2 linked regions of the Arabidopsis thaliana genome follow. The protein of the gene in region 1 binds, or shares a complex with, the protein of each later gene. Each region holds a gene or a part of one and is shown in the gene's direction. Other genes may lie near its edges.

Region 1 (6,678 bases):
AATAATGTATGAGTTTGTTGAATAGGTAGCACAAGTTGATGTGTCATGTCTTCCCACTTTTGTACTGTTAATACTGTTGAATTTTTTTGGTGTTTGTCGACAAAATATCAATACTACAATTAATTTTTGTCCTACTGTTACACCTTTTAGTTTTAACTTGGGTAAGTGAGTCGTTGGACTAAAAATCACGATGATTATGTGGTCAAATATGTGTATCTTGGTGTATATTTGTATTTTCTGTGATTAAGATGATTGCATCTTTAAGACATATTTGTAGCTTTAATTGAAGTCAATACTGATATTTCTGAAGAGATTGGGAAATTTGGAAGACATGGAATATTGGTGAACTTTGTTTCTGACTTTAATGATTTCAGAGTTGTTGGTTCCAGCTTTATTAGTTCGCTTCATTTCATATATTCAAAAAAAAAAAAAAACTTTCCTTTCTCATCAAATCTATTGATAGTTCTAAAATAAAACGCAAAATCAAACACATTTGTACATCATTTTAATAAAGAATGTTCAAATGAGAGTAATGTGTATTATATTGTAACATGGAAATGCAATTCTAAACGCAAACGACAAACTCTGATCGAAGAAATGTGTTAATTGATTAGGGAATTGTCACGGAGATATATGTAGGAAATCAAAATTGTTAACGAAGTGTCTTTCAAAATATATCTTCACAAATACACAGTTCGTAAATGCGTAATTATTTTTAATCTAACAGTTCGTTCTGTCACATGGATCTTTCAGACCAGTACAGTCGTCCTTTGCAAAGATTTATCAACTTTCTAACAAAAAGAGAAGCTACAGAAAGTAGAGAAAATTTTGTACTTTTGAAGTAAAGAAAAAAAAAAGAAGTAGACAAAATTGTGTAGGATTCTTCACGGTTTTTGCATTCTTCTTTATTACCAAGTCTTCAATATTTTCATTTCAATAAAACTTCCCCTTTCTTACAAAGAACTCTTATTTTCCATTTTTCTTCACATTTTTCCTTGCAAGATCACTCATTTTAATTTATGTAAATGATAGAATTTGAAGATCCATACTTCAGCAATCTGTTTTTCTTGGCATGTTGAGTTTTTATCAACAACACCAATTATTATTTTATTTTCTCTGGTTCAAGAAATTGTCTAAGCTCCATTCAAACATTCTGTACTTATATATAAAGTTTACATCATCACATATTGTGCATCAAATAGCAAAGGTTTTGGCAACATACATATAATATGAATCGTGCTTGTACACACACACACACTCATGTATATATATGTATTTATTGTTTACCCTTGAACAACATTTTTAGGTAAGGGGGTCTTCTATCATCAGGAAAACATAAGGTAGATGAGGTAACATCTTTAGATTCGTTCGAAGTAGAACTCCTATGCATTTGATCAAATTGTTTTCTAATTAAGTAATGCAACATTTAAACCATGTGCAGCACAAACGATGGCTTATTTAGGTGGATTTGCAAATCTTTTCACTCTTTAGGGCATATTCCAATCAACTACTGCTTGAAATTTGACTGATCAATGTGATGCAAAATTCACGGCATGGCTTGTTTTAGCAGCTAGTTTCGACAACCTAATCACCCGAAAATAACAAACAATCGGAAATGCAGCGCGATAAGTAGATATATGTCTGTGATCACCCAATTAGCCACAAAATAGTGTACTATGTTTGTGATGTTACCCTTTTACTCTTCAATTTTAAATACATATCTCGTTATAGTATTTTTTTTTTTTTTTTTTTTTTTTTTTTTGGGTAAAACTCGTTATAGTATTTCGTTAGAGTATTAACATTTGTGTAAACATAATTGTTGTCATTAATCGTGGGTCCAAATCATGACACATCACAAAGTTTCTTGGACTTGTTATACATGTTCCTTAAAATGATTAGTTATATATTATCTTAATAATCCTGATCTTTAAATCGAACAAATTTAGATTTAGCTTCTTTTTTTTTTGTTAAAATTTAGATTTAGCTTTACAAGATGTACCTTTGATTATGATAGAGGAAAATAACAGTATCCCACCCAAATACACGGTTATAATGAGATTTTCATGTATGTAGAAAAATCATCAAATTGTAAGAAAACAATTGGAAAAATTGAGTGTGTTGTTTTGAGTAGCAAAATATGAAGAATCCATCAAACCAAGAAATTAGCAAAGATGTAGAAAGGAAGATTTGGTCGATAGATTCACGGACGTATTAGAAATGACCACTTTCCGATACAATCGTCCCAACTAGGAAAAGAGTCAAAGCTTTTCGAAAGAAATTAAAAATTCCTCTATGAAAAATAAGTCAAGAAATTGTTTTAAAAATATTTAAGGGCCAAGTAGAAAAGGTCACATCTTGCCTTACCAAAAAAAGACAGTTCATTGAAATTTTATCGGGACAAGTTTACTATTTTTAATTAATGCGTATCTACTTCAAAACATGCGTAGCATTAACGGCGATTCCACGTCAATTTCATGGCGTCCACAATTTTTGTATAAGGATAAGAGAGTTACTTTTATATTTTTAAAATCTATTCTGAAAACTTTAAGAACTTATTTACATGAATACATGGTCAGAAATGTGCGAGACCATTGTTTAACTGGTTAAAAAAAGGATTTATTTACATAGAAATGGATTTAAATCACCTGTTACACTTTTATTGAAATCATTCTCTTATGATCATTGCATCGTAACTCGAGATATTTATTTTTCATGCTTTAGTTTGTTAATTATATCTAGTTTTATCATGTTCTATAACCCTTTTTTAGGCACTCAACATAAATAGCAAACCCCGATTTAGTTCAATTCGCGAATCAATTTCGTCTTGGTTATTCTTTTGGCTTTGGTCGTATTTAATTATGCTAGCTGCCAGATCTTAGGCACATCACTTTGTTTAGATAAGATTAGAACATTTCTTCACAGTTCACTTAGTCGTCACATATCAAACAAAGTAGACAACATTATAAATAAAAAAATTCCACAAATAATTTCTGCTTATATATATAGATATGTAACCAAATCACAAAATTCCACATAATTAGTCTCACATATACTTGTAACTAGTCAGACAAAGACAATGGAAGAATCAAACCGTAGTAGTACTGTCTTGTTCGACAAATACAACATCGGAAGACTTCTCGGAACCGGTAACTTCGCCAAAGTGTATCACGGAACAGAGATCTCCACCGGCGATGACGTGGCAATCAAAGTCATCAAAAAAGACCACGTTTTCAAACGTCGTGGCATGATGGAGCAAATCGAACGAGAGATCGCCGTCATGCGTCTCCTCCGTCATCCAAACGTGGTCGAGCTCCGCGAAGTAATGGCTACAAAGAAGAAGATTTTCTTCGTCATGGAGTACGTCAACGGCGGAGAGCTTTTCGAAATGATCGATAGAGATGGGAAGCTCCCGGAGGATCTAGCCAGAAAGTATTTCCAACAATTGATATCCGCGGTGGATTTTTGCCACAGCCGCGGTGTTTTCCACCGCGATATTAAACCCGAGAATCTGTTGCTTGACGGAGAAGGTGATCTTAAGGTAACGGATTTCGGACTTTCCGCATTGATGATGCCAGAAGGGCTAGGTGGCAGGCGTGGTAGCAGCGATGATCTTTTACATACGCGGTGCGGGACACCGGCTTACGTGGCGCCGGAGGTTTTACGGAATAAAGGATACGACGGAGCTATGGCTGATATTTGGTCGTGCGGGATTGTTTTGTATGCACTCCTTGCTGGCTTCTTGCCGTTTATCGACGAAAACGTCATGACATTGTACACGTAAGTATTTCTTGACCAGGTTTTGGCCCAAACCGTATTTGTTTTTGTTATTTATTTGACGAATAGTGAGATACAAAAAAATATTGAACTAAAAGCCAAAGTAGTCCATTTTGAGTTGGGTTTCTAGATGCATCTCAATTTTACATCACATACTTATATATGTTAAAAAGAAATAATAATCATTTTTGGTTAAATAAAATATTATTTGAAAGAGACAGTTTAACTTGTACCAATAGATACAAAACTTGGATATAAGATATACTATTTGAAAGTTTACACACACAAAAAGAAAAGATATATAGTATTTGAATTATTTGTTCACGTAATTCAAATTTTAATAATTACTCAAAATTATACAATATTTTCCAAGATATTGAAACTATTATCAATTTGTGAATATTCGGGTGGTATTTTAGGTACATTAATCTGATATCAAATTCGATAAATGTTGGTCGATCGTATATTTCATTATAGTTCTATATTATCAAAATTTCACGTCCCGTATTTTACTAGATAATTTATAAAACTCCCGCCAATAATAACGGTCTCAAATAGTGCTCTTCTTACAAATTCAAATATTAGTATTGTTGAATGTGAATGTGAATTGATCAAATTCTCATTGTTGTTTCTTGTTTGATTGAACCTTTCGAAATAAACAGGAAGATCTTCAAGGCGGAATGCGAGTTCCCACCGTGGTTTTCCTTAGAATCCAAGGAACTACTCTCAAGATTGCTTGTGCCGGATCCTGAACAAAGAATTTCAATGTCAGAGATCAAAATGATTCCATGGTTCCGAAAGAACTTTACACCATCAGTAGCCTTTTCGATAGACGAAACGATCCCATCTCCACCGGAGCCACCAACAAAGAAAAAGAAGAAAGACCTAAACGAGAAAGAAGACGACGGAGCTTCACCAAGATCCTTCAACGCCTTCCAATTCATCACATCAATGTCTTCAGGTTTCGATCTCTCTAACCTATTCGAGATAAAACGAAAGCCAAAGCGGATGTTCACATCGAAGTTCCCGGCGAAATCTGTTAAAGAGAGGCTGGAGACGGCGGCGCGTGAGATGGATATGAGAGTGAAACATGTAAAAGACTGCAAGATGAAGCTGCAAAGAAGAACAGAAGGTCGTAAAGGAAGGCTCTCGGTGACGGCGGAAGTATTCGAAGTCGCTCCTGAAGTCTCTGTCGTGGAGTTCTGCAAAACCTCGGGGGATACGTTGGAGTATTACCTCTTCTGTGAGGATGACGTCAGACCAGCTCTTAAAGACATTGTATGGTCATGGCAAGGTGATGATGATGAAGACGATGTTACCACTAATGATAATGTTGACACAAATGATAACAAAATAAATAATGTTTCATGAGCTGTAATAATTCACTTTTTGGAATTGGATGTGCGAGGCGAGACTGTCTTATTGTGAAATTGCAAATGTATAAGAACATTTTTTTTATGATTAACAATAAAAATTACTTGGAGGGTTTGTACAATTGTCAAAAACTATTGAAGCAAAATTGGTTATATATGTTATGAACGTTCTATAGGTCATTAGTTCGAGTCTACTTCTCATTTTTTTTTTTTTTCAAGTGTTCAAAGCGAAGTAGTTTTGTTAATCTATATACAAACTTATACGGTTTACAAAATCTATACACGTTCAAGGGTTATATTGCGGATTACTTTTCAAATTCAATAAAATAATGTATATAAGATTAAGTAGGGCGGACTCACGTTGGTGCACCCACTAAACTATAAATATTTGAATTTTTACATAAGGAACTGTAACTAATCTAGTTTAATAAACACTTTGAAATGTAAGAGGTGAAGGGTTCAATGCTTTTTTTTGTAATATCATCTCCATCGTTGTTGATTGGATGTGCGCGAGCGAGATTGTCTTATTGTATATATAACACCATTTTTATAATATAATGTATATAACATTACCATTATACGCAAATTATTAAGCGATTAGTACAACTTAGAATGTAAGAAGGTATACAAGCAATAACCGGAAACTTTATGTCACAATTTACGGTTACTTTAACCATCAGTCTCTATATGCTCACTCATGAGCAAAAGTTTTTAAGCGGCAAGCAACTTCTGGATGTCTTTCTGCAAAACAGAAACAAAACGGTTTGGTTACAAACCGGGAATAGAACCGCTATGAACCAAATAGGAAGTAGTCCATTAGCCATACCTCGATTTGGAAAGGGGATGTGGTGGGAGGGTACCTCTCAACGACCTTTCCCTTTTTATCAATCAAGAACTTCTCAAAGTTCCATTTAATGAGACCACCCAAGAATCCTCCTGCGTTTGATTTCAAGAACTCGTAGATCGGCGCTGTGCTTGGTCCATTCACGTCAACCTGTCGAATTCAAACTTATTTAGAATCTGCAACCTGAAAATAAGAAGAATGAATGTTTTGGATTCTTTATACCTTATCAAATATAGGGAACTCTGCTTTAAACCGGGTGCAAGCGAATTGTTTGATCTCGGAGTTTGACCCGGGCTCTTGGAAACCAAACTGATTGCAGGGAAAAGCTAGAATCTCAAATCCTGTAATCCAAACAACAAGCTAGTATTACTAACTACAAATGCATGAGAAATACACGTTCATTGGCTTATTGCCTCCTAAATGATTAATGAACAGATCCGTACTTTCGAGAAAATTCTTTTAGCTACAGAGAACGGATGAGTGAGATTATCATCAATCAAACAAAGATGCTGAATTTGCTTGCAGTTCAACGTTACAGAACAATTTTATTTCCATAAATTAAAGTGAACTACGAGCTAGTAACATCGCTGTAGAAGAAGCAACAATAGAACCAAATCATATTGACACCACAATAATATAAAGATCTACAGAACAATTAAGTGAACACCAAAACACGAGGAATTTTCA
Region 2 (6,273 bases), on another chromosome or scaffold:
CAAAGTCGATTACTTGTGTGAGTGTCAAATTTTTTGTACATAAAGAGCTCACCAGTAATCGTTATGTACATTGTGAGTAGATGATGCAAATCACAATGGCAACAACTTTATAGAATCTTAATATAGTGTTTATACTACATATTTTGTTTTTTCTCTCGTCTCATTTACATATCTTGATGTATATATTTTTTTATATGTTCAATTTTTTTTTTTGCAATTTAAAACTGAAAACCCAAACATTACTTCATTAACTATCAATTAGGATGTCGGTTTTCTTAAAAGAAATATTTTTATAGCATTAACTATATCTCATAAGTATAAAAGTTTTGGACATGGCATCTAAATAGTTGGAGTCTTTGAGATGGTTTTGACTTCAGCTATATAAGTAAGTCTTAGGGTGTTTAATTTAGAGTTTGAATTTTAAGCCTTTGAGTCTGTCAAAACCTAAAATAGGCACAAACCAAACAAAAACAATCAGATGTTTTTTTTTGGTTACAGAATCTTTAAATTAGACTGTTCTAGATTCTCAATTGGCACTAACACAACTAAGTATGTTCCTAATTGGTTGAAAAGTCATAATATTTGTCCTTGCACAAAATGTGTAAACCATAAAAAGAAGAATAAAACCTCCAAGTCAAATATTTTCTACTAATTTACAATAACTCTTTTCTAGAATACTAACCACCAATAACTTAAAAAAGCAGTTTGTCAACAACATCCAACGACTATTTTTAGCTGCCTTCTCTCACAAGTCACTATTATAAATGACCTTTTGGATTCATTAGCAAGAAACAACACAAATCATTCTTTACCTTCATAACAAAAGTCACTATAGAAATTACCTTTTGATTCATTAGCAAGAAACAACAACACAAATTCATTCTTATTTACGTTCGTCAAAACCATGACGAAAGAAAACCCTTCAACCCTAAATCTCGGACAACCTAAGGCACAAGAAAAGTATTCCACAAGTTTAGCCAAGATCAACCCTAAACCCTCCGGTAGCTCTACCGTTGAATCGAAGAGCCAAGACAATAACTCACCTAGTTTAAAACGTTGGAGATCGTCCTCCGGTAAATCTACGAGGCTAAATTGTTTATGTTCTCCGACGACACACGCCGGTTCTTTCAGGTGCAGGTATCACCGCGTTGATTCGTTGACACGTGCCGGGTCTATTGGGTCGAACCTCGCTGTTTTATTGTCGTCCAAGTCGAGCCGGTTTAGTGACTCCCTCAAGGCTCAGTAAACCCGGTTACTGGATTTGTTCGGTATAATAACTGTCGGTTTTGTTATTTGTTTGTTTCTTCTACTTCTTCTTTTGACATTGTTCAATAATTTTTATCGAAAAAGACATTGGTCTGTATTACTAAACCGCTTGAAATCGGCTTAACCCGATTCAAGGTAAACTTTTATCTAATTTTCACCAATTTGATTCAAATTTAAGCATTTATTACATACACATTTTATATGCTTCAAAAATACTTGAAATGAATTTTTCTGTCTACATTTTATATAAAGAAAATATAAAATAATTTTACGAAGTCAGAAATAATACGCAATATAATATATTTTTGCAAATTTATATATATTGTAAACGTTTTGATGATCACATTATTTTTAAAATTTCTGAAGATATAATTGAACTTATCATTTCGGGAGGTTCGATTTTATATGTTACTTGTCAAAAATTTAAAATTTGACAATAGAAAAAAATGGCTATATCACATATTATCTTTGATTTTGTATGATTATTTTGCATTTAACATCGTAAAAAATGTACTAATTTGAAGATTTTTTGAAAACTTAAATTCTCCAATAGCACAATAGATCATATATTCTATGGGTGAATGTGAAATTCAAATTTATGTCCGGTTCAATTCAGCTCGAGTTTTACTTAACCGGAACGAAAATCAAATCGAACCGTATTTTGAAGAATAAAACGACGACGATTTGAGCAGATTTTTCAGGATTTAATTTGTAATAATGCAAAAAGATTGAGTTTTTGTTGTTTGTTGAGATATTTAAAAAGATTCTTCAGGTTTTAATTTGTTTTCCAACTCTCTCCTCTGCTTTACAACAAATCGTCTCCGTCTTCCTCGCTCAGCTTCAACAACCAGAGCCGACTTGAGATTGAGAATCAACGTAATCGGTAAATTTTCGTATACGCAAATCCATTCTACTCATTTTGAGTTCACTTACATATCAAGATTCTTCTATCTCTGTTGAATCTGCGATTCACGAATCCATTAGGACGATTTTTGGGGATCTAGATCGGGTTTTGTTTCTCAGAACCTGTAATTGATTGTGTAATCCTTGAGTTCATTAATGTATAAATTCAAATTTCCCAATTTGGGTTTGTTTCTGATGGATTTTATTAATTTTGTGTGTCCATAAATTGTGATGTTTAAGATTAAAATTTGGTTAATGAGCTTTGATTAAGTCTTTAGATTCTCCATTAATTTTCTTATCTTCTTCAATATTGTATATATTATGTGGACATAACTGAATCATCTGAATAGTAAAATCATGATAATGACTTCAGTTTCTAAGCAATGTTTGTGTTGCCTATATTGACTGACTTATTTAGATTACTCTGAATTTTGCAACTTGTGTTACAGATACTCTCGCAAAGTCTCATCCTTTCTCAGCAAAAAACACTAGGAAATGGTTGAAAGGTACAGTGTTCTTCATATGCTTGCTTCTGTAGAGCTGTTTTTTGAAATTAGCAAAACAAGTTCACAATGTTTTATATGCAGGCATGGAGAGTTTTGATTTGCTGCTTAAGATATATCATGTCGCAGTGCGTTGACGGTATCAAGCATTTATGCACCTCTGTTTTAGGGTGTTTTGATCTTGATTTGTATAAACAATCTGGTGGCCTTGGAGATCCTGAATTGCTTGCAAGAGACACTGTTTGTATGCCCTATCACCTTCTCTACTCTTTTTTTTTTTTTTTTTTTCCGGTTATAAGATTCGATGCAATACCATTTGAGGAATGCAAAAATATTTCTTCTGAAGACTATTGATGATTGAATTTGGTTTTGGAATGCAGTTAGTGTGAGTGAAATAGAAGCTCTTTATGAGCTTTTTAAGAAAATCAGCAGTGCCGTGATTGATGATGGGCTAATAAACAAGGTATAACTCTAACTTGTTTGATCTTCTTCCTCATTTGGTAAAGCTTTAGTGATTGATCTAACAATCTGTCTAATTTACTCATCTCTTGTTTGTATCAGGAAGAGTTTCAGTTGGCTTTGTTTAAGACAAATAAAAAAGAGAGTTTGTTTGCAGATCGGGTAATGTTTCTTTCTTCACATTATAAGTGTTCTTAAACCCATTTTTGTCAAGATCAAGTTTAGAAGAAATGCTGAAATATGTGATTTTGTTTCTAGGTTTTCGATTTGTTTGATACAAAGCACAATGGAATACTGGGGTTTGAGGAATTTGCTCGTGCTCTCTCCGTCTTTCACCCAAATGCGCCTATAGATGACAAAATTCACTGTACGTCCCTTTTAGCTTGTATCTCAAAAACAAGATTGGGATAACACATTAATGATATATACTATTTTTTTGCAGTTTCATTTCAGCTATATGATCTTAAACAGCAAGGGTTTATCGAACGGCAAGAGGTAAAGCTTCCATATCTTCAAATAGCTTCATATATAACCTTGTAGAAGTGCGCTTTATTATCCTCACTGACATTTTCGTCCATCATTTGTCCAGGTGAAACAAATGGTTGTCGCTACGCTTGCTGAATCTGGAATGAATTTGAAGGATACTGTCATTGAGGATATAATCGACAAGGTAAGTTACTTACTTTTTTTCCTCTTCACCCTATATTTTTTCTTTGAAAGTAATTTCCCGAGTTTTGAATGTTTCAGACGTTTGAGGAAGCAGACACAAAACACGATGGAAAGATCGATAAGGAAGAGTGGAGAAGCCTTGTTCTTAGACATCCCAGCCTTCTGAAGAACATGACTCTTCAATATCTCAAGTGAGTTCCAAATCTTTCTATTTATATAACCAGGATTGAATCTATTCAACCAAATTCCTTCTCTGGTTTCTCTTTCTTCTATTCTCCATGATATGTAATAAAGGTCGTGATCCTGTTGTGTGCTTGCTCTGCAGGGATATCACGACTACGTTTCCAAGCTTTGTGTTCCATTCTCAGGTTGAAGATACCTGAAAAAGCAAAAGCAAAAGCAAGCAGCGGCAAGACATCATTGTATTGTTGAAGGTTGTTCTTTCGTTATGGTTCTTTATTTGTTACATTTCTAAATCTCTGAACTCATTTTATTTTTTATTGAGCTTTTTTTGTGAAGCAAAATTCTTCTTTTTAGTTTGGTTTTTGTCCTTTTTGATTTCGCTCGGTCTATCTGTAGATACAACTTTTGCATCTTGATGTTATGGTAATGTAAAGTTTTTCAGTTTATTTATTAATCCAATTAAAAAGATTTGCTTCAATCTCTGTGTTTTGGTTATTAGAGTTAGCTTTTAATATTAATTCAATGGATTTCTAGATTGCAAGCAAAACTAGTCATTTCATATGTGACTTGTAAGCAAAACTAGTCAAAACTGAGTGATGTCACCAGCCCTCCTAATGACGAGTTTTCCGAGATCAGCTCCACAAGAATCAACTTACATGATGACAAAAAGTGGATCTTCGATGAGACGCCATTAGAGAGAAGAGGAGATGATCTTACCAACAAGGGTATACGAAAGCAGAGCTTCGGGGGATGGTTGAGAAGCAGAGACATGAATAATGTTCTTCCAAAAAGAAGAAGAGGTGAGAAAAGGGAAAAAAAACCTAATTGAAGAATTAGCGATTTTCCCTCACCAAGAACCCTACATTAATACAAAAGGAAGTGACTTGCCAATCAAGTTTCCCATCCATTGTAGATGAGGGGAACATTGTGTTTGTAGTAAGGCAATGGAAGAATGACTCATTTATGCTTCAATGACTTCCATGTTCTTTCTTGAGGAGAAGGAAGACCATTCTTCTTGTTTTGCTACACAAGACTGAAATAAGAAACCTCTTCTAAAAGTTCTTCACGCTCCATGTAGACTATCTCTTTCTCCAAGGAGCGCTTTTCATTTAGAAAAAGCAACTTTTACTCTTCATCTTATCTTCGGCCATACTAGACGCAAACTCAACTTCAAGATCAAACAGTGCTTCTAAAGCCAACTCAACTCAATAGCCATACTTCATGCCGTCTCTTCAGCTTTTTTATCTTTCAAAGGAATATTTCATTAATATGATTTAGTTTTTATTTTATATACATCATTTTGACATATATATTTTTGAAAATTAATTTTATGCTTTAAACCACAAAAAAGTTTAAGTTTGGACCTTTCACATTTAGGTTTCAATTATTGTCTACATGTTTTCATAACTATATTCACACAAATAACTAAAATCTCCTCATAGAAAAAAGATTAATTGGTTTGAAAGAATAAAAAGAGTATAAAAGATTATTTTTCTATGGTTAAAAAATATGAGAGATTTGCCTTGGAAACGATAGTTAAAATTCAAAGAAACTAAGCTTGATATAACTACAAGTTTCGTACATAAAAATGTCGAAATTGTTAGATGTAATGAAGCCAACTTTAGCTTGAAGCCTCACCATGTAATGTTTTATCTCGCCGGAGAAAAAAAAATTCATTTATCGGTGAAATTAATTTATAAGACCAACTAAAACATCAAGCACATTAGATCTATTAATGATTGATTAATGTTAATGTGCTTTTAAAATTGAATAAAACACATGATCAATCATATTTTTAGCGTATAAAAAATAAATCATATAAACGAGATGGAAGACCATTCTTCTTGTTTTTCTTTACAAGACTGAAATAAGAAACTTCTTCTAAAAGTTCTTCACGCTCTATGTAGACTATCTCTTTCTCCAAGAAATATATACTACCAAACACTTTTCATTTTGAAAAAACAGTTTTTACTCTTCATCTTATCTTCAGCCATACTAGACACAAACTCAACTTCAAGATCAAATAATGCTTCTAAAAGCCAACTCAACCCAACAACCATACTTCACGCACTCTCTTCAGCTTTTTTCTCTTTCAATAAGAATATTTCATTAATATGATTTAGTTTTTATTTTTTATACATTATTTTTTACATGAATATTGTTTGAAAATCAATTTTATGCTTTAAACCACAAAAACTTTAAATTTGGACCTTTTACATTTGGGTTTCAATTATTGTCTACATGTTTTCATAACTATGCTCACACAAATAACTAAAATCTCCTCATAGGA

Evidence for each region.
Region 2: CIPK16 (region 1) and CBL2 share a complex: the UniProt entries of both Arabidopsis thaliana proteins name them as parts of the K(+)-channel calcium-sensing kinase/phosphatase complex.

The regions. Positions count from the first base shown.
Region 1 is NC_003071.7:10,669,009-10,675,686, reverse strand, and holds CIPK16 (CBL-interacting protein kinase 16), read left to right. Parts: upstream 1-2,794; 5' UTR 2,795-3,076; coding exon 3,077-3,777; intron 3,778-4,436; coding exon 4,437-5,145; 3' UTR 5,146-5,277; downstream 5,278-6,678. Other genes in the region: GPX1 (glutathione peroxidase 1), read right to left, coding at 5,859-5,888, 5,974-6,141, 6,214-6,332. UniProt on the Arabidopsis thaliana protein: CIPK serine-threonine protein kinases interact with CBL proteins. Binding of a CBL protein to the regulatory NAF domain of CIPK protein lead to the activation of the kinase in a calcium-dependent manner.
Region 2 is NC_003076.8:22,669,397-22,675,669, forward strand, and holds CBL2 (calcineurin B-like protein 2), read left to right. Parts: upstream 1-1,716; 5' UTR 1,717-2,149; intron 2,150-2,618; 5' UTR 2,619-2,675; intron 2,676-2,756; 5' UTR 2,757-2,792; coding exon 2,793-2,916; intron 2,917-3,052; coding exon 3,053-3,135; intron 3,136-3,233; coding exon 3,234-3,293; intron 3,294-3,389; coding exon 3,390-3,498; intron 3,499-3,573; coding exon 3,574-3,626; intron 3,627-3,720; coding exon 3,721-3,801; intron 3,802-3,878; coding exon 3,879-3,991; intron 3,992-4,125; coding exon 4,126-4,183; 3' UTR 4,184-4,234; exon of another isoform or gene 4,235-4,459; intron 4,460-4,517; 3' UTR 4,518-4,704; downstream 4,705-6,273. Other genes in the region: AT5G55980 (serine-rich protein-like protein), read left to right, coding at 905-1,246. UniProt on the Arabidopsis thaliana protein: Acts as a calcium sensor. CBL proteins interact with CIPK serine-threonine protein kinases. Binding of a CBL protein to the regulatory NAF domain of a CIPK protein lead to the activation of the kinase in a calcium-dependent manner.